5 linked regions of the Cricetulus griseus genome follow. The protein of the gene in region 1 interacts with the protein of each later gene in a biochemical or structural test. Links are inferred from orthologs where the notes say so. Each region holds a gene or a part of one and is shown on either strand. Other genes may lie near its edges. The genes, in order: Cryab, Cs, Ccnd1, Snca and Cryba1.

Region 1 (4,090 bases):
CCATCTGGGTGATGAAGGATAGCTTCAGATATACTTAGATTATTCCCAAGAGGTGGCTGAATACATGTGTGGTATTCTTAGTCTCAGTAGAAATAATTTCTCAGAGGAACTAAGTGTATTCTGACACTGTCTTTTAAGTCCCCAGTTAGTCTTATCACATGACTCTAGCAAAAGAGATTGAATGTTACTGGGCCTATTAAGCAACCTTGAGCCTGGAATAGATCAAACAAGGCTCCCACCAACCATACCAATTGCTTCACTTGTCCTGTTATTCAGTAACATGATTGTGTGATAGTATGGGGGTGGGGTGGGAAGAAGAAAATGTATTATATGAGAATTTATGTTAACTAAGGAATCATTCAAATTTAACATTAATATTTATATTATTTAGAGGTATAAAACCACAGTGCTATTTTGTTTTTCAGAGTTCAAATCTACTAAGGACTCTACTACTAAGGAGAACATGAGTCTGCAGAGAGAGCAGTTTATGGGAAGAGTAGACAATTCAAATACCACAGGAGCATATTACTGAATGGCTCTTAACAGAAGAATTGATTGCAAAGTTGTCTGACTGTTGCTTTTAGAAATATTCTATTACCAGCACAGGAAGAAATATCTTTTACTCCCCCTTCCCCTTGTTTTGGAAGAACTGTGCTGTTATGCAATATTTATGTAGAGTCATGGAAATGATAGCCAGGCCACTTCATTTTCACATGGGTCTTCAGATGAAGATTTAGAAATGAAAGACCAGCAGAAAGCAAAGACTAGGACTTGGCCCTGTGCCCGTCACCTTCTAATCAGAAGGTGGGTCCTGACACCAAAGAGCCGGGTTAAAACAGAGAAGGGGGAAGGGCATTGGAGGACCAAGGGACTTTTGCCACAACTGATGAATGGGTAGGATTTACACAGCTAAGGACCAGAGAAGGCCCTGGAGCAGAGAGTGAGAAGAGATGAATGGGAGTACTGGAGGCACTTAAAGAGGTGTGTTTCCTGACTCTTCTGTGTTTCACCTCTGGGTCTGTAGCTCTTTGTTAACGATTCCCTTACATGTGTTCAGTGAGAAGTGATGCGAAGATGAGGAGGCCAGCCATGCAGGCAGGATACAAGCTCTGCCCTTTGATGAAGGTTGTAACACCCCTCAGCCAAAGGAAAATTCCAGCACAGTTGGTCACACTGGCAGAACATTTCCGTTGGATTTTTTTTCTCTGTCTGTGTCAGGAACAAGGCTGGGGCACAGGGTGGGAGGAGGGCAGAACTGGGGTAGGTTCTAAGGCAGGTCACAACTCAGGGCTTCTTAATTAGAAACAGCGATCAAGGAGGGAGCCTGTCGTGCAGCTGGAGACAAAAAAAAAATCCTACATGGAAATTCATGAGAATGGTTGGTTGCCTCTAGGGGAAAGGTTGGGAAGGGGGTGGAAGCAGGGAATGGCACAAAAGACTCTTCCATCTTGCCTGTAACGTTAATATTTAAGAAGAATATCAGGTTAGGGTGTAGCTCAGTGGTCTAGCCCCTAGTCATATGCAAGGCCCTAGGTTCAGTCACCAGTGCTGGGGGTGGAGGGTTATATTTTCATATGTTATCTGACTAAAAACTGATTTTAAAAGCACAAGTTGCTGCCTTAAAGGGTAGAGGAGTAGGGCAGTGGTAGAACACTTTCATAGCATGCCCAACCCCCTCCCCCAAGAGATCTTAAATTTAAAAATTCGATGGAGAAGGGAGAGGTGCACAGAGGGAAAAGTGGGCAGGAAGCCATGACCAATAGCCTAAGCCTTCCTGGCTGCTGGGCTAAGGCAACCAAAAGGATGAGTGAGGAGGAGTGGGGGCAAATGGAATGGCAATGGTCTCAAACAAGAATCGACTGGATCACAAAAGAAGCAAAAGGAAGAAAGAGGTAACAGAATTCTGAGAGAAACTTGTGAGGAGAAAATGAGCCTGAGTCAAGCCTAGCTCACCTTTCCTGTTAGATTGAGGATCCCCCACAGCAGTTCTCACAGAGGGGAGCAAATATTGGCTCCTGAAACTGGGCCTGTGACCCAGGTTGCTCCTCTCAAACAACCTTGTCCTGGGTGGTGGAGGACATAACGGCGCAGGACTCAGGGAATTCACACGTGGAAAGGACCACCCGCAGTCTCCTGCCCTCTCAAACTTTCTACCAATGCCACACCACCACACCCCTCCCGTGACTCATCCGGTTAGCTCCTGAAATAGAAAGAGCTAGCTGCCTCCTGTTCAGGGCTTCCCTCAAGGATGTCCCTGGAGAGTCCCCAAGAGGCGTGGGGACCACCTTTCCTGCAAGGAGATGCCTTCTTAAGTCTGTGGTCCTCACTGTCCTCGGCACTCAGGAAGGTAATCGTTCAGCTTAGAGAGAGGCCCACCGCCCTTCTGATGCCCTCAGGTTCCTGCATCTATCTGCACCGCACCCACCACCTTGGCTCTGTACCCAGGCTCTTCAACTCTGACGTATGATGTGTTCTGGGCTCCCCCAGAGGATGCCCCCCGCCCCAGGATTCCCTTCCGGAGATTAGGCGGGAGGCGTGGGGTGACGGGGAGCTGGGGGTGGGAGGAGCAGGGCAGTTACCTCATTGAAGCCCTCCTGCAGGACGTCCAGTAAGTTCCCGCGGGTCAGGCAGGCTAGCATTGTTCCTGCCGTGGGGCTCCCCGGGTGGGGTCGAGCCGCCTCCTCCTCCTCCCTCTGCACACAAAGGCAATCGGCTCAGCTCCCTGGGATCTCTCCTGAGTCCCGCATGCCACTTACTGGAAACCTAGAGCCGAGCCAAACTAGCGGCTTGCACTGGGCATGCTCGCGCGCAGGCCGCAGCCGGAGGGGCCCTGGCGCCGTGTTGGTTCCTATAGAAACAGTCAGGCGCGCACGGCAGGCACCGAGAGGCAAGCGGCCAGCCCCGGGCAGCCCGTGAGTGCGGGGGAATCCGAGGGCGCGCGCACACGCTCCGGACTGGTGCGCGCGCACGCGCGCGCGCGGAGAGCACTCACACACGCGTACACACCTACACACCCATGCTGACACAAGTGGGCTTGCCAGCACGAGCATATGCTTACAATCACTACACTGCAGGTTTGGAGACGGGCATCCCCGCGCGTGCGCACGCACACGCAGGCGAACACACACACACACACACACACACACACACACACACACACACACACACATTCACTCTGCTCTCTTAAGGCTGCTAGCACCTCACCACACACACACACACACACACACACACACACACACACACACACACACACACACACACACACACACACACACACACATTCACTCTGCTCTCTTAAGGCTGCTAGCACCTCACCACAAGGTGGATGGGAAAAGGAGTGAGTCACAGGATTCCCCCACCCCATTCTTCAGCAACCTTTTTCCACATGTGAGGCAACCTAACAGAGGAAGTAGAAGGGCAAGAAAAAAAAAAAGAGGAGGAATCAGGAGAGAGCGGCTGGGGTGGTGGTGGTGGTTGTTGGGGATGTAAGTAATTGAACAGTGCTAAACAAATCATAACATCACAACAAAAACATCAAAGATGATTCAGGATGGCCATGGTTTTACCACATGTATCTCTTCTCTCTTTTCAAAATAATTGCTGTAAGGGGAAAGGTGGGCAAGGTGGCTCAGGGGATAAAGGCTCTTGCAGAAGCTTGGCACCTGAGATCAATCCAGGAACCATGTTAAAGGTGGAAAGGGAGAGCTCACTCTTCTCTGGTACATGCACCCATATACACATCATGCTGTCTCACACATTAATAATTAATTCTAAAAATAAAATAACTGCGTGGTGGTGTACACCTGTGATCCTTTACTGGGAGCTCGAAGCAGGGAATCGGAAGTCATCCTTGGCTGCATAGCCAGTTTCTGGTCAGCCTAAGCTATGTGTGATCCTTTCAATAACATATATATATATATATATATATATATATATATATATATATATATTTCAGGCCTGGCACTCTAGAAGCAGAGACAGGAAGGTCTCTATGAGTCCAAGGCCAGCCTGGTCTACATAGCAAGTTCCAGGCCAGCCACAGATATATAGTGAGATTTGGACTCAAAAAAAGAAAGGCAAACCTTATTTT
Region 2 (2,911 bases), on another chromosome or scaffold:
GTTAGGCAGATGCTTCAGAGCAAACTCCCTCTGACAGGAATATCGTGGGTCAGTCTTCCTTAGTACTGCATGACCATATCCTGGGACAACCTGTAAAGGGCAGGAGGGAGTGGGGAAAGTTACAGAGAAGCATATCCAGGTACATCACCCCCCTTCATTTTAAGGTAATTTGGTCCTGGTGGCTCAAATAGGATGGTAAATCCAAAGCCTGCCTGGGCATTTCAGTGAAACCCTGTCTCAAAATAAAGGGCTGGGAATATAGACCAGTGGCAGAGCAGCTGTCTAGCCAGCAGATGCTGGGGACAAGCCCGAGCAACACAGAAAAGAAAACTAAACCCACCAGGTAAACAGATGTGGAAACAATAGGAAAGGCGGCCTCTTCTGGCTAATGCAGGGGCTGTTTTTATTCTTTTTTTCTCCCCACTTGAGACAAGGTCTCGGCCTGGAATTTTCCTTCACACTGCAGTGTCTGAGTCTCAGTCTTTCTCCTGGTTGCTTACCCGTCCTGAGTTGAGTGTATTCCAGATGTAGTCTCGCAACTTCTCATCCGACACGTCTTTGCCTACCTCCTTCTGCAGCTGTGTCAGCCAGACAAGCACTTCCTACACGGTAGATGTAGGGTGGGGAAGAGGGACATCAGCACACATGTCAAGGAAAGAATGTCAAGATTAGGGGCAGAGCATGTGAGTAAAAAACACACAACAGGAAGCCACAAAAGCTAGGCTTACCTGATTTGCCAGCCCGTGCAGAGGCCCTGCGAGCCCATTCATGGCTGCTGCAAAGGACAGGTAAGGGTCTGAAAGGGCGCTGCCCACCAAGTGGCTGGTGTGGGCACTCACATTACCACCCTCGTGGTCACTGTGGGACAGAAGGCAGAGCCAAAGGGAAAGAAAAGGGCTGGTTATGGGTGACAGACATGGCTTTCCTTTTGCCCCATGGGCTCCCGACACCCACAGCGGTCAGTTGGACCTGCCCTGCTCCCTCTCTCCCCCACCAGTCTTCTTCACCCCACTGCCACTGTTAGGTTCAATGCAGAGCTCAAAGCCGCAGTAGGCAAACTATTTTCAGCTACTGAGCCCATTTTAATGACCATGACCACAAGAGGGCGCTCCTGGAAAGCTGACCTTCCTGGTGAGCAGCTTACCCCTTTCCAATCAGGAGAGATTTGCCTCAGCCTTTCAGCTTTTCTTCCTCATTTCTTGCCTACTTCTCATGTTACAAGATGCTTCTATCCCTCTGCTACAGACCGTCTGTTCCCAGATAATAACACTAAGGAGCTTGTCCTGGCACTCACTCTGTAGACCAGGCTGGCCTCTGCCTCCCAAGTGCTGGGATTTAAGGTATTGCAGCCTAATGCTTTAACCACCACCACCCGGCAAAGGAGCTTTTATAATATACCCCTATCCATCCCGCCCCCCCATTTGCTGGGACCTTTAGTCCTGGCATTTGGGAGGCAGAGGCAGGAGGATCTTTACAAGTTTGAGGCCAGCACAGGCAAGGCTATGTAGAAAGATCCTGTTTCACAAACAAACCAAGAAAGAGTTTCTCATCATTCCAGGCACCTGAGCAGGGATATAATTACTAACTGTAGCTCACCTGTGGATGGTGAGGTACAAACGCATAAGCTCAGTGAACTGTGGTTCAGTATAGCCTAACATGTTGGTAAAATTGTGGGACCAGTCCAGCTTAGAGTCAATGGCACCAATGCTGCTGCCTTCCCGGTAAAGATTCCGGTAGATTTTTGCTGCCACACAAGGGAGCTTTGCAATCAGGTCCATACAATCTTCATAAATCAACTGATGAAAGAAAAGACGGAGAAAAAAAGGGAATTACATGCAAAGCATTAGGCTGCAATACTGTTTTGTTTGTCCTTCAACAGTATCTGGGTTGACAGCAGTATGCTGGGCGGTTCTGCATTTCAGGTATAGAATGACAATAACCATATGCTGAGCAAATGACTGCAGCCGAGGCTTCTAGTGTCTGCAGTGTGTGCCCTACTGGACCTGTCTTGTCCACTCACAGAGGACTCAGGTAAGTATTAAAGGGAGATCTGAACCCTGATCTGCTGCTTTGTGACGTTCTCAGGACACTAAACAGATGTGATATCACTATTATTACTACTGTGTGTGTAAGGGAGCAGGGGCTACACAGGCCACAGCACACAGTGAGATCAGAGGGTGACTCTGTGAAGTCCCTTCTTCCTGCCACCTTTATGTGGGCTCTGGGGACTGAGGTCAGAATTCTAGGATTGCTCAGCTTTACCTGCTGAGCCATCTCACTGGCCCATTTCTAAATTAATTCTTTATTTCTTTATTCTAATGTTTAATTTAATTCTGCATTTTAGTTCCAGTGAAAATTTATTACATATGTTAAGAATCAAATAGTGCTGACCAATTATTGAATAGCAAAAGCTTCAAGGTTTTAGATACATATTATGCTATATATATCATAAGGTTTCGATACCATATACTTTAATAGAAAACTTGCCCAGCATGTAGGGGGGCCTAGGTTTGATATCTGGCAATTGCCTAAAAATTCACCTAAAACATGGGGCTGGAGAGATGGTCTGTAGTTAAGAGCACTTGTTCTTGGAGACGGCCCAGGTTCAATTCCCAGCACTCAACATGGTAGCTAATGACGATCTAACTCCAGTTTCAGAGGGTCAGATGCCCTCTCTGACCTCCACATACACTGCACACATGTGGTGCACAGACATACTTGCAGACAAAACACCCACACATGTAAAAAAAACAAAAAACAAACAAACAAAAACCTTGAAAAATATACCCCAAGAAGAAAGAGCACACAAACTGGCTACTGAAAACATATACACACCAGGCAGTAGTGGGCACGCCTGTAATCCCAGCACCTGGCAGGCAGAGACAGGCGATCTCTGTGAATGGCCAGAATG
Region 3 (4,184 bases), on another chromosome or scaffold:
CTAGTTCTCCTGAGTTGGGGTCAGGATTGTGAAAACTTTAAAGAAAAGGGGATTAACAGACTTAGGTGGTGGAACCCTTTCATCCTAAAAACTTTTACTTGACTAAGTATTAAGAGAATATTGGGAATCCACTCGTGTAACCACGAACATCTGTAAGTTTTCTCTACGCATCACATAGGCGCACACATTTGTCTTGATTCCGACCAGCCCCCCAGGAACTCACGAATGCCGCCCCAACTAAGGTTCTAAAGGTAGAGGAACGGCCACACCCCCAACAAAGCCTATCGGAAAATTTCCGGTGGTCTGGTTCCTGGCAAGGTGACTAATACTTGCAGTGATTTAGTTTTCTTAATTAAAAAATAAATTAGGAAACAGCCCATCGTGTCTCAGCCTTTCCTTCAAAGGTTTATTTTTCTTGGGTAAATCGCCCGCACTGGAGGAACCTGGCCAGAATGAACTGGTCACCGTAGGAAGGCAAATCGAAGATTCCTCCCGCGAGGAGGATTGGATGAAAGAAATAATGGCCACCATCTTGAACTGTTGCTGGGATTTTTGAGATTTTATTTTTGAGCGAGTGCATGCTAGGCTACATCTCTGGCCCTTTGCAAAGACCCCCAGTGCACTAGGATGGAGCCTGCACCGGAGCTTAGGGTACGTCCAGCATCTTCGCTTGTTGAACAGTTCCTGAATTTTACACGTGTTGATGAAATTGAAAGAAGATGGGGACGCCGGGATTTCTAAGCAATCCGTCCGCCCGTGGGTGCCCTCGTGGCGTCCTCGGAAACGTGCCCATTCTCCTGGCTTGAATATAGGGTGTCCTTGGGTCCCCAAGATCCCCCATCCATTCAGTCTTCTCTGGCTTGCGTGTGGCCTGGCCTCCCTCCTAGCTGTCCTGTCCAGAGCTCCCCTCCCCCGCCCCCTCCACAGATCTCAGAGGAGCCACTTCTGAGGAAAGTGGGGAAAGAAGACACCCCACCACTACCACCCTCGCACCGCTTTTTCCCAGCTTGGAGAGAAGCAGTCCGAGCGATTTGCATATCTACGAAGGTCGAGCTGGAGGGGGGGCGCTTTGGGCTTGTCCCCTAGCCGTTTGCAGCTCCCGAGCCCCCTCCCCCTGCGCCCGCCCCGTCCCTCCCTCCTCCCTTTCTCTGCCTAGCTTTGATCTCTGCTTAACAACAGTAACGTCACACGGACTACAGGGGAGTTTTGTTGAAGTTGCAAAGTCCTGCAGCCTCCAGAGGGCTGTCGGCGCAGTAGCAGAGAGCAGCAGACTCCGCGCGCTCCAGAGACCGGCAGTAGAGCGCGAGGCAGCGCGCGCCAGCAGCAGCCACCGGAGCCCAACCAGGACCACAGCCCTCCCCAGGCGGCCGCGCCATGGAACACCAGCTCCTGTGCTGCGAAGTGGAGACCATCCGCCGCGCGTACCCTGACACCAACCTCCTGAACGACCGAGTGCTGCGAGCCATGCTCAAGACCGAGGAGACCTGCGCGCCCTCCGTGTCTTACTTCAAGTGCGTGCAGAGGGAGATTGTGCCGTCCATGCGGAAAATCGTGGCCACCTGGATGCTGGAGGTGAGGGGCTACAGCCTTCTGGCTTGGGACCCCTGGCAACTTGTTGCTCCCACCCACATCTTCCTCCCTTCTCTTCCCTTCAGACACGGAGTTTTCCCGCAGTGTTGCTAGGAATCGGATTCTCAAAATAAATAGATACTGCCGGTATTTTTAAACGAGGAAGGTGTAGGAGTTGGGGTAATGGGGATTCCTTTTCTTGGTGGGGGGCAGTCAGGGAGGAGGGCTTTCGAGGGAGGACGATGGCAGGGACACCCCAGAGGGTGCGGGCTGGGCGCCTTTTGTAGCCCCCGGCTTGCGCCCCATTCCTGCTGCGCCTCGGCGGTGGCCTCCTCCGCCAGCTCGGGGGGGAGGGGGCATAGATTTGATTTTTAAATTAATATCGGTGGACACGTATGCAAGGCCCGCTCGTGTCAGTATTATGCGCCATCTTTGCTCCTTTATTGCAAAGCAAAAGTGTTTATTAATAATTGGGGGCAGGGCGGGGAGCGGCGGCGGGGGCGCTGGACAGGCACGAGGGGCCTCGCGGCAGCCAGGAATCACCAAACGGGACATAGCGATCGATATTTGGGGGGAACCCTTTGTTCAAGTAGCAGACCCCTGAGCACCCTCGCACAGGCTGCCTGGCCCAGTGAGCACGCCAGTCTGCAAGGTCGCGTGGCCCCCTAGTCGCTAGAGATTGACCGTCGTCCGCGCGGGTCTGAACTTGGGGGTTTCTATCCAGGTCAAGCCGGGGGACCAGAGCACATTTCCAGATGCTTAGCGGGAGTTTCAAGAGCCCCAAAATATTTTTAAATAATTTCTGAAGTGCGGCGTGGTGCCCTTGCAGAGAGGCAAACGGCACCCGCACCCAGCAAAAGGGGGGCCCCCAGAGTTTGAGTTGCTGGGGCTCACTCTCCAACGTACACCGAACTCCTGACCCTTGGGTTGGATAAAGGGTCGCCCGATGGTTATTTTCGAGCCGTTTTTAGGCGTCTAGTTATTTTTTAAATATTTTTAAATATTTTTTGAAAAGATGACGTCTGGGAAATGAGGCGCGGCGGCCTGGGACGCCACCTTTGTGTCTCGCGTGCGCGCGAGCGGCGCCCAACCCCCGGCGCCCTGCCAGCCCCGCGGTGGGATTCCCTAGCCTGCGGCCTTCTAATTCCAACCTGGGTCGGGGTCTCCGTGGTCACCGCTGCTGAGCTTCCCCGCGTCAGCTGCCCAGGGACTTTCCCTTTCAGTTTCAGGGTGGGTGGGTACTGAGCACCGCGCCTCCCGGGGAGTTTGCCACCGCGACCCCTCTCCGTGCTCTCGCCACGTATTCGCTCTGTGTAATCTAGGAAAGAGATACGGGGTCACATCGAGCGACACCCCCCAAAACCCCCCGTTGACGGTCACGGTCACGGTCCCGGTCCCCGCAGGTCTGCGAGGAGCAGAAGTGCGAAGAGGAGGTCTTCCCTCTGGCCATGAACTACCTGGACCGTTTCCTGTCTCTGGAGCCCCTAAAAAAGAGCCGCCTGCAGCTGCTAGGGGCCACCTGCATGTTCGTGGCCTCCAAGATGAAGGAGACCATTCCTTTGACCGCCGAGAAGTTGTGCATCTACACTGACAACTCTATCCGGCCCGAGGAGCTGCTGGTAACCAAGGACCCCACCACCCGCGTTCCCTCATTATCTGCATGACCCCCCCCCCCGGGTGGTGGGAGCTGCAAGTGACAGGAGGCCCAGGCAGCCTCGGGTAGATCTCCAACCCCACGGAAGTCATCCACACTGCACTACACCTAAGTGGCAGTGGACAGAATCCCAAACCCATTTCACCTCTGTGGCCCCCCTCTCCTGGACTCCCCACCATGTCTGCGGTGAAGCCACTCTGAAATGTGGACGGCTTGCGCCCCCTTGCGGCGCTCGAGCCGCAGCGCTGGCGGTGAAGGGTCTTTTTGTCTAGTGCTTGTTGCCCACTCAGTCTTTCTACATTTTGTTGTTTACCTATCAGTGGTGCCCGGCTATCCCACTCTTTAAACCTCCTTCCAACCGGCCTGCCCTCCTTTTGACTTTGTTCCCCATTTTCTGCAGCAAATGGAACTCCTTCTGGTGAACAAACTTAAGTGGAACCTGGCCGCCATGACTCCCCACGATTTCATCGAACACTTCCTCTCCAAAATGCCAGAGGCGGATGAGAACAAGCAGATCATCCGCAAGCATGCGCAGACCTTTGTGGCCCTCTGTGCCACAGGTAGGGCCCCCACCCCCACTCTTCCCCAGGAGATCTCAGACTCCTTGCGGTTCCTTGGCTAATGCCTGTTTCCTTACTGTCTCTTCTGTACCATATGATGGTCTCAGGCATGTCTAGAAGGGGGTCCTTTCATCTCTGTTCTGAGCCCAGGGGCAGATAGCTTGTTGGGGATAGATGGTATTGGGGGCCACGATAAAGGGCCTTGGAGACCTAATCGAATGGCCCAGCTCCCTGTGCCAGGCTTTTCACTGCACGCTTTCTGAAAAGGTTTTTGCCTTGGTTCCTGGGCTGCCTGCCCCCACCTACCTTCTGTCCTGTCTGTGTCTTTAAGGGGCCCCATTTATGGGGGTGGGCTTGGGTTGGTAGAGTCCTGGGGGAGGGTTGGAAGGAGAGAGGCAAGG
Region 4 (4,172 bases), on another chromosome or scaffold:
GGAGAGGCGCTGACAAATCAGCTGCGGGGGCGACGTGGAGGAGCCGGGGAGCCAGAGCGCCTAGCAGCAGACGGCAGGAGACCAGCAGGTGCTGCCCCTGCCCCTCCGCCCAGAGCCTTCCTTTCCACTGCCACTGAAATAAGATCAGGGGCAGAGAGGAGGAATCTGAATTCTGCGAAGCCAAGGGCGCCGGTAAGTACCTGTAGATAGCAGCAGCTCTGGGGATCCCGGAGAACCCTGGCTAAGAGGAGTCCCGATGCCTGGGAGATCTCCAGCTGAGGCTACCTCAGCGGTGGGGACACGGCCAGTGCATTGAAAGTACATTACTTGGCTTTCCTCGCGCTAGAGACGTGCTCTTCCATTCTCCCAAAGCCCGAGGGGAAACCAGGCTGTTCGTGGCATCTGCTTTTTCGAGCGGAAACGCCAGGGTGTTTCGTGTTGGGTGCTGGGTCCTGGAAGCTGAGCGCTGGGCGTTGGGAGAAACCTGAGCATCCAACTTTCATCCCCCACCCCGGGCACGTTCTATCTCTTATCTGGAGTGTAAGGAGGCTACATTTGGCCAGTGATTAATAAAAGTGCCTAAGGCACTTGGCAACAGGTGATAAGGGGTTAATGAGCACGGGGGTGCAGGGTTTTCAAGCAGATTCCAGTTGAGGACAGGGCCCCCAGGTTGGGTAGAGCTGAAGTGAGCCGGCTCAAGTGTGTGGACAGCGCCTGCTCCGGGCAGATAACAGACTGGAGAGCTAGCAGTGGGTGGAAGGTCTTGTTAGATTTGAACAGCTGGGCTGATGACAGTTGGCGTGCTGTTCCCTTCATCTTGAAGTAAGCAGTTCCCTTCCTTCCCCTCTCCTAAGACTAAACACTTACTAACCCCTTTCTGAGTCCTTTTACCCTTGCCCCCGACTTCAGTACCCCCTTCCATTGGTTTTCTAGACAAGCTTTTTACTTAGAATGTCGCCTTTAGGCCCTGGGAACTTGATGGGGTAGAGTCCACCCATCTTGCCATGTAACTCCATTTTCCAGCTGCTGTAAGAATGGCCAGGTGATCCATCTGGATCCATCCCATCTTTAAGTGGCTTGACTCTTCCTAGATTTGAGTGAAAAAGCTGACAAGCAACACCATGCCCAGTCCTCAAAACAAGCAAGCAAGCAAGCAAACAAACAAACAAACAAACAAACAAAAAAAACGAGTGTTCATTTACACAGAGATTGGGGAGGGGGGGTCTCTACTGATTTTTCAGTGATTTCTTCCTTGATTTTTAAAAAAATTCTTCCCATTCTAGCTGCTTTAATCTTGTTTTCTTTTACTCAAATTTTTAATTCAAAGTGTATTGTGTATTCTCTAGAGTGGAGGAAAAGACATCTTTCGCCATGGATGTGTTCATGAAAGGACTTTCCAAGGCCAAGGAAGGAGTTGTGGCTGCTGCTGAAAAAACCAAGCAGGGTGTGGCAGAAGCAGCAGGAAAGACAAAAGAGGGAGTCCTCTATGTAGGTAGGTAGTGGTGCCGTGACTGATGAGTTGGAGTGGCTAATCACTCAGTGCTGGCATGTGGTGTCTGATTCATGCACATAGCTGCTTCTCAGGAGAGTGACAGGTATGTGGAGGTGAGAGAATTGTGAATCTGCTTGTTAGCTCTCAGAAACAAATGGGAACAATGTTTTCTTTCCTTAGAATACTTAATTTTATTGCTTACTTAGGGTTTTCCATGTTTCTGTGTGTGTGTGTGTGTGTGTGTGTGTGTGTGTGTGTGTGTGTGTGTGTGAGCACATTGGGATTTTTAAAACTGGCAACCCATGAAAAATAACTAAGAATATGCTTATGAATCAGACCCATTTACAGCAGCAGGATGGTGGCATGTGGAATCCCAACATTTGGGACATGGAGGCCCAAGGGTCAGGAGTTGAAGATCATCTTTAGCTACATAGTGAGTTCAGGGTCAGTCCAGTCTACATGAAATCCCATCACAAAACAAAACAAAACAAAACAAAACAAAACAAGAGGAGTCCCAGGCCCTCACGGGACTTTGGCTTCTTTCATCATCACCATAGATAATACTTGTTAATTGCAATTTTAAAAATAAAACTGTAGTATGATTGTATTTAATATCTGTGAAAATACACCTACTTTGGTCCCCCAATAGAAAAAAAAAAAAAGGCAAGTTGTTCTTAGTGGATCTCCCTTTTGAGATGAAGCTCAAGGAACCTCAGATGTGTTTGTGTAATCACCTGGATGATGCACACAGGAAAGAGCAAGAGGTTGATACTCGGTGCCTTTTGTGCCTAAGTGTAAACCTTGAGACAGAGGTCAACACTGTTTACTGGCTTTCCCTGTGTTAAACTGGTTGCACTTCCAGTACTTTGATGGAGGGAAAAGACATATATGTATGCATGCACATTCATCTCCAGCAGAGACCCAGGTGCACAAGGGAGCAAGGATGCATGACTCACCTGCCCCCTCTGTGCTTCTCTGAGCTTCCCTACCTTCTTAGGGGGCCTCTATCTCAGTAGAAGGCAAAGGGTCAACCTTAAGATGGAAATGGAACAGACAAGTGGCAGAGGTGACAGAGAGGCCACACACTGAGACTGAGACTTACCAAAAGTGGGAAGCTGTGCTGGCGCTCCAGCTCTAACTGATTAGTGGGAAAAAACCTTTCATGAACTTTCAAAGTTTCTAGCATATCACCTTTGCTCATTCCTCATAGATTGTTTTTATGTTGACTCCCTTTCCACCTCAAAACAACCTTTCAGAAAGTCTTGAAATGAATATTAAAAGAGAAAGGTGTGAGTCAAGTGCTTCTTTTGGGAACAGTGAGGTCAATGTTTTTGATAGAATCCAGAATATAAAATCAGTTATTTGTAGATTTTTCAGGGCCTCAAAGTCTCCCACATCCTGCAACTATAGACCCATGACTACATTTTTTAATTAGTTACTTAGTGAATGTTATCTTTCTTCTTTTTAGACAACTAGTCACCTAATTTTCTTTTTTAATTTTTTTTTTTTTTTTGAGACAGGGTTTCTCTTATGGTTCTGGCTGTCCTGAAACTCACTATTTAGACTAGTCTGGCCTTGAACTCACTGAAATCCACCTGCCTCTGCCTCCTGGTACTGGGATTAAAGGCATGTGTCACCACCTTCCAGCTAGAGCATTAATTTTAAGCAAATGTAGAAGTTACTGAATATTAATTTATTATTCTTTCTAGTTAATAAACAGATCTTATCAAGTAGAACACTTTCATGTTTTATTGTTAATTGTGAGTTTAGGCAAATAAAGTGATTAGATTTTTCAAAGATTAATTTTGTTGTTCACTGCGAGGCAATTATGTAAAAAGCATAATGTTTCAATAAGTCTAATGTTACTAAAATTATCAATGTTGTTATATTTAATACATATATAATTAATCAATTGCTGGTTATGTTCTGGAGTCTAATTAAAAGCTGAACGTGGGTGGTGGTGGCACATGCCTTTAATTCCAGCACTGGGGAGGCAGAGACAGGTGGATCTTTGTGAGTTTGAGGCCAGCCTGGTCTACAGAGTTCAAGGACAGGCTCCAAAGCAATACAGAGAAACCCTGTCTCAACAAAACCAACCAATCAAACAAACAAAAAAAAGCCAAACACATGCATAGAATTTACTATGAAAAGTGAGGTCTAAAGGTAAGAATTAAGTTAAGATTTTGGTCAACTTTTGTTAATTTTCAAACTTATTTCGGCCAATCTGTCTCAGATAATCAGGTCTACTGTTAAAGTGTGAAAGCAACCATGGGCAATAACCAGTGTGGTGCTGTTTCAGTTTTTATTTATCAAAACAAGAAGCTGGGGTTAACTTATAGGCTAGAAAAAAGTGAAAGGGAATTGGGCTATAACTTATCAAACAAACATAAATTTAATACAAGCTACATCACTTCTACCTTTAGGATCTTGAGGAAGTTAATGTCTTTGAATTTCCTTCCCTTTTCCACAAATAATGTAGTTCATAAAAGTACAATTCCTTTGCAGAGCTTTTGTGGAAATGTGTAACCAAGTGCACTTTCATATTTAGGAAACTTGATTTTTATTAAATAAGCTATTCCACTCAACATGATTTCCTCTTATTTTTCACCAAATATATAAAACTATCATCAATAATTAGCCTGAAGGATTAGAAATAATCTGGGCTACAATTTGTCTCAGT
Region 5 (4,093 bases), on another chromosome or scaffold:
TAGATTCATTTATGCTGTGGAATATTTGTTTAACGATGCAAAGATGTGCTGCATTCTTTCTTTCTTTTTTTTTTCTTTTGGTTTTTTGAGACAGGGTTTCTCCTAACTGTCCTGGAACTCGCTCTGTAGGCCAAGCTGGCCTTGAACTCACAGAGATCTGCCTGCCTCTGCCTCCTGAGTGGTGGGATCAAAGACATGTGCCACCACTGCTTGGCCTGTGCTGCATTCTTTTATGTTACATTTGTTTAACTCTGTGAAGCTGTGTTACTTTGCCTGTCTAAAACACCTGGTTGGTCTAATAAAGAGCTAAACGGCCAATAGCAAAGCAGGAGAAAGGATGGTGGGGGGCTGGCAGGTAGAGAGAATTAATAGAAGTAGAAATCTGGGAAGAGAAGATTGAGGAACAAGAGAGGAAAGGGAGAGGAGGACGGACGACAGGGGCCAGCCACCCAGCTACCTAGAAAGCCTCACAGTAAGAAGTAAAGAAAGATATATAGAACAGAGGAAGATACAAGCCCAGAGGCAAAAGGTAGACGGATAATTTAAGAAAAGCTGGCTAGAAATAAGCCAAGCTAAGACTGGGCATTCATAAAAAAGAATAAGCCTCTGTATATGATTATTTGGGAGCTGGGTGGTGGGTCCCCCAAAATAGCTTAGAGTAAAACAACAAACAAGCCGGACGTTGGTGGCGCACACCTTTAATCCCAGCACTCGAGAGGCAGAGCAGGCGGATCTCTGTGAGTTCAAGGCCAGCCTGGGCTACTGAGCAAGTGCCAGGATAGGCTCCAAAGTTATACAGAGAAACCCTGTCTCAAAAAACCAAAACCAAACAAACAAACAAAACAACTATAAGTCTCTCTCCTTTTCCAAAGTGTGAAGGGACTGAGTCTCCTGGGCAGGGATCTAGGCTGGAGGGTGTCAGACCCACATCCTCATCAAAAAGGCACTCCTCCTGGCTTCCCCAGTTTTCTATTTTGATTTAAATGAGGATACTGCAGGCCTTCCTCTGTAGATGAAAGTTTCTGTCCGGCCAGGTCCCCCAGCTGTTTAATCCCAAATAAACACACAGAGGCTTATATTAATTATAAACTGTTTTGTGGATGGCTCAGGCTTCTTAGTGGCTATTTCTCTCTTAATTATTAGCCCATTTCTGTTAATCTGTGTATCTCCATGTGGTGTTAGATTACTGGTAATGCTCGGGTCTGTTTCTTCCGTGGCAGCTACAAGTCATCACTCTCACAACTCATGCTTTCTGTTCCTCTTCTCAGAATTCTCCTAGTCTGGTATCCCCGCCTATACGTCTTGCCTGGCTACATCCTGCCTGTCCATTGGCCAAAACAGCTTTATTCATCAACCAGTAAGAGAAACATATTCACAGCATACAGAAGGACGCCCCTCATCCTTCCTCTCCTCTTCTACCCCTCACGTGGTTATTATTGAAACTACGATTATAATTTAAGGATTTTAAAAATATGCATGTGGGTGTTTTTCCGGCATGCATGTCTGTATACCACTTGCATGCCTGCTGCGTAAGGAAGTGGAAAGCGTCAGTTTCCCTAGAACTGGAGTTATAGACTGTGTGAGCCGCTATATGGTGCTGGAAATACAACCCTGGTCCTCTGGAGGAGTAGCCAGTGCTCTTAACTGCTGAGCTGTCTCTGTAGTGCAATGATTTTTAACTAAGGTTAAATTATTTAAATATTTGGAGGCTCACCAAGTGCGGGGTACAGGACACTAACCCTTTCCCCCTGCTTTCTCCTCACTTCAAAACTGAAAGAAAAAGCCTATCAGGAAAAGCAAGCTAATTACTGGAGAACCCTGGCAGGAGAGCCACGTCCTAAGTTCTTACCTCACCCTGTTTCTCTTCTCCCCATTTTCCCACAAAGGTCCCTGCTTCAAAATGCCCTCTTTGGGCCCCGAGGCCGTCGCCAGTCATTCCTGCCGTCTCCTTTTCAAAAGATTATTATTTTATTTTAAATTATCTATGTGTCTGTAGATGGGTGTACGTGAGTGTGGGTACCTTCAGGGATCAGAGGCGTTGGGTCCCCCAGAGCTAGTATTGCAGGTGGTTGCTGGGAGTCTGTTGAGGGATCTTAAACCAAACCTGGGCTCTCTGCAAGAGCAGTACATGTACTCTTTTGGGGTGGGGGTGTTTGTTTTGTTTTGTTTTGTTTTGTTTGAGACATGATTTCTCTGTGTAGCCTTTGCTGTCCTAGAACTCAATCTGTACATCAGGCTGGTCTTGAACTCAGAGAGATCCACCTGCCTGTGCATCCTGATTGCTGGGATTAAAGGTGTGTGCCACCACCGCCAAGCAAAGTGACACAATCACAGGCCTTCACACTCTCTTACCCAACAGTCTGCTTCTTGACGCAGGTGTCATCTACTGGTATCATAAAGACCAGACACCCGACACTTGTTCCGGCATGCACCCACAACCACCAATGCTTCTCAACTCCTTCAAAGCAGCCCTCACAGGCAGATACATCACTGTGAGTTCAAGGACAGCCAGGAATACACAGTGAGACCCTGTCTATAAGGCAACAAGAAGGAAAAGGAAAGAAAGAAAGAAAGAAAGAAAGAAAGAAAGAAAAGGTGTAAGTGCTAAGATAGGACTTTGATGGATGTAACTTGGTGCTATGGTAGAGTACTTTTTCAGCATGTGTGAAGCTCTGGGTTTTAGTGTGTGTGTGTGTGTGTGTGTGTGTGTGTGTGTGTGTCTGTGTTATAGAGATAGGTGCTTCCAGTACTACTCTCTATGCAAATTGATTCCTTTACTGTTCTTAGCAATTTTTTTTTTAGATTTATTTACTATGTATACAGTGTTCTATGTGCGTTCATGACTGAACACCAGAAGAAAGCATCAGTTCTCATTACAGATGGTTGTGAGTCACCATATGGGTGCTGGGATTTGAACTTGGGTCCTCTGGAAGATCAGGCAGTGCTCTTAACCTCTGAGCCATCTCTCTAGTCCTGCTCATAGAAATTCTAAGAGCTACATATGTTTTTGTGTCAGCCTGAAAGATAATAGTGAGTTGTAGATTGACTAAATTACTGGAGATCACATAGTTAACATGCCCAAAGCTGGCCTGGCATTGGTGGCGCACGCCTTTAATCCCGTCACTCGGGAGGCAGAGGCAGGTGGATCTCTGTGAGTTCGAGGCTGACCTGGTCTACAGAGCGAGTTCCAGGACAACCTCCAATACAGAGGTTGTCTTGAAAAACAAAACAAAACAAAAACAAACAAACAAACAAAAAAGGCCAAAGCCAGTTTTGAGCCCAAGTAGTCTGAATACAGGCAGTCCTACTCTGGGAATAGGAGGGAATGGCTACTGGCATTGCTTCACAGAATTCCCAGGCTCTGTCCCACAGAGTCTGACTCTCTAGGCCTCAAATAACAATCAGGACTGCTTTTTAATTGCATATCCTGTGGACCACACTTTGAAAACTCCCATCTTTTCTTCTAGCAAAGTCTTTCCTGTGCCTCTGATCCCTCTTCCCCTGGGAATGTGCTTTCCCTATGGGCTGGGGATGCTTGTGCTCTGAAGCCAGACTTATGCCCCCTGGTGGTCAGAGATGAAAGATCAGGAGGGTAGCCAGCAGGATCCTGGGTCAGCAGGACAAATTCCAATATTCTTGAATTCCATTCAGCCAATTATCCCCTACCAGCAGTAAACCAGTGTCACACACAATATACCTAACAGAAACACGACTTCATATGACAGCTCCTCCAGGGTGACTATCCACCTGTTCTGGTTTTGTTTTTTGTTGTTGTTTTTGGTTTTTTGAGATGGGGTTTCTCTGTGGCTTTGGAGGCTGTCCTGGAACTCACTTTGTAAACCAGGCTGGTCTCGAACTCACAGAGATGCCTCTGCCTCCTGAGTGCTGGAATTAAAGGCATGCACCACCGCCCTGCCTGTCCATCTGTTAGATATATTCATTCCAAGCTGCAGGTGGACAAATCGTACCTGGTCCAGTTATTTGTATCTTACAACGTGCAGCTCTAGACTCTAGGTCTTTACAAGGCTGCAAAGATATTTTCTCTTTTTTCTCTTGGCTGGCCTCCACCTCCAGGCTGGGATTACAAGCATGT

What was found.
Region 2: the proteins of Cryab (region 1) and Cs form a complex in vitro, tested with the Homo sapiens proteins (3 studies listed by BioGRID). The link is inferred for Cricetulus griseus from reciprocal best matches to the Homo sapiens genes CRYAB and CS.
Region 3: of the proteins of Cryab (region 1) and Ccnd1, one has a biochemical effect on the other in vitro, tested with the Homo sapiens proteins (2 studies listed by BioGRID, with this or other methods). The link is inferred for Cricetulus griseus from reciprocal best matches to the Homo sapiens genes CRYAB and CCND1.
Region 4: the proteins of Cryab (region 1) and Snca form a complex in vitro, tested with the Homo sapiens proteins (4 studies listed by BioGRID, with this or other methods). The link is inferred for Cricetulus griseus from reciprocal best matches to the Homo sapiens genes CRYAB and SNCA.
Region 5: the proteins of Cryab (region 1) and Cryba1 form a complex in vitro, tested with the Homo sapiens proteins (2 studies listed by BioGRID and IntAct, with this or other methods). The link is inferred for Cricetulus griseus from reciprocal best matches to the Homo sapiens genes CRYAB and CRYBA1.

The regions. Positions count from the first base shown.
Region 1 is NC_048597.1:162,499,340-162,503,429, forward strand, and holds the start of Cryab (alpha-crystallin B chain), read left to right. Parts: upstream 1-1,290; 5' UTR 1,291-1,378; intron 1,379-1,418; exon of another isoform or gene 1,419-1,892; intron 1,893-1,953; exon of another isoform or gene 1,954-2,090; intron 2,091-2,189; exon of another isoform or gene 2,190-2,461; intron 2,462-2,521; exon of another isoform or gene 2,522-2,579; coding exon of another isoform or gene 2,580-2,639; exon of another isoform or gene 2,640-2,716; intron 2,717-2,788; exon of another isoform or gene 2,789-2,912; intron 2,913-4,090. Other genes in the region: Dixdc1 (dixin), read right to left, coding at 2,580-2,584. UniProt on the Homo sapiens protein: May contribute to the transparency and refractive index of the lens. Has chaperone-like activity, preventing aggregation of various proteins under a wide range of stress conditions.
Region 2 is NW_023276806.1:129,531,445-129,534,355, forward strand, and holds part of Cs (citrate synthase, mitochondrial), read right to left. Parts: intron 1,797-2,911; coding exon 1,597-1,796; intron 859-1,596; coding exon 729-858; intron 603-728; coding exon 501-602; intron 91-500; coding exon 1-90. UniProt on the Homo sapiens protein: Key enzyme of the Krebs tricarboxylic acid cycle which catalyzes the synthesis of citrate from acetyl coenzyme A and oxaloacetate.
Region 3 is NC_048596.1:56,400,304-56,404,487, forward strand, and holds the start of Ccnd1 (G1/S-specific cyclin-D1), read left to right. Parts: upstream 1-1,374; coding exon 1,375-1,572; intron 1,573-2,972; coding exon 2,973-3,188; intron 3,189-3,623; coding exon 3,624-3,783; intron 3,784-4,184. UniProt on the Homo sapiens protein: Regulatory component of the cyclin D1-CDK4 (DC) complex that phosphorylates and inhibits members of the retinoblastoma (RB) protein family including RB1 and regulates the cell-cycle during G(1)/S transition.
Region 4 is NC_048601.1:81,915,693-81,919,864, forward strand, and holds the start of Snca (alpha-synuclein), read left to right. Parts: upstream 1-1,371; coding exon 1,372-1,492; intron 1,493-4,172. UniProt on the Homo sapiens protein: Neuronal protein that plays several roles in synaptic activity such as regulation of synaptic vesicle trafficking and subsequent neurotransmitter release.
Region 5 is NC_048600.1:91,133,352-91,137,444, reverse strand, and holds the start of Cryba1 (beta-crystallin A3), read left to right. Parts: upstream 1-1,288; 5' UTR 1,289-1,357; intron 1,358-4,093. UniProt on the Homo sapiens protein: Crystallins are the dominant structural components of the vertebrate eye lens.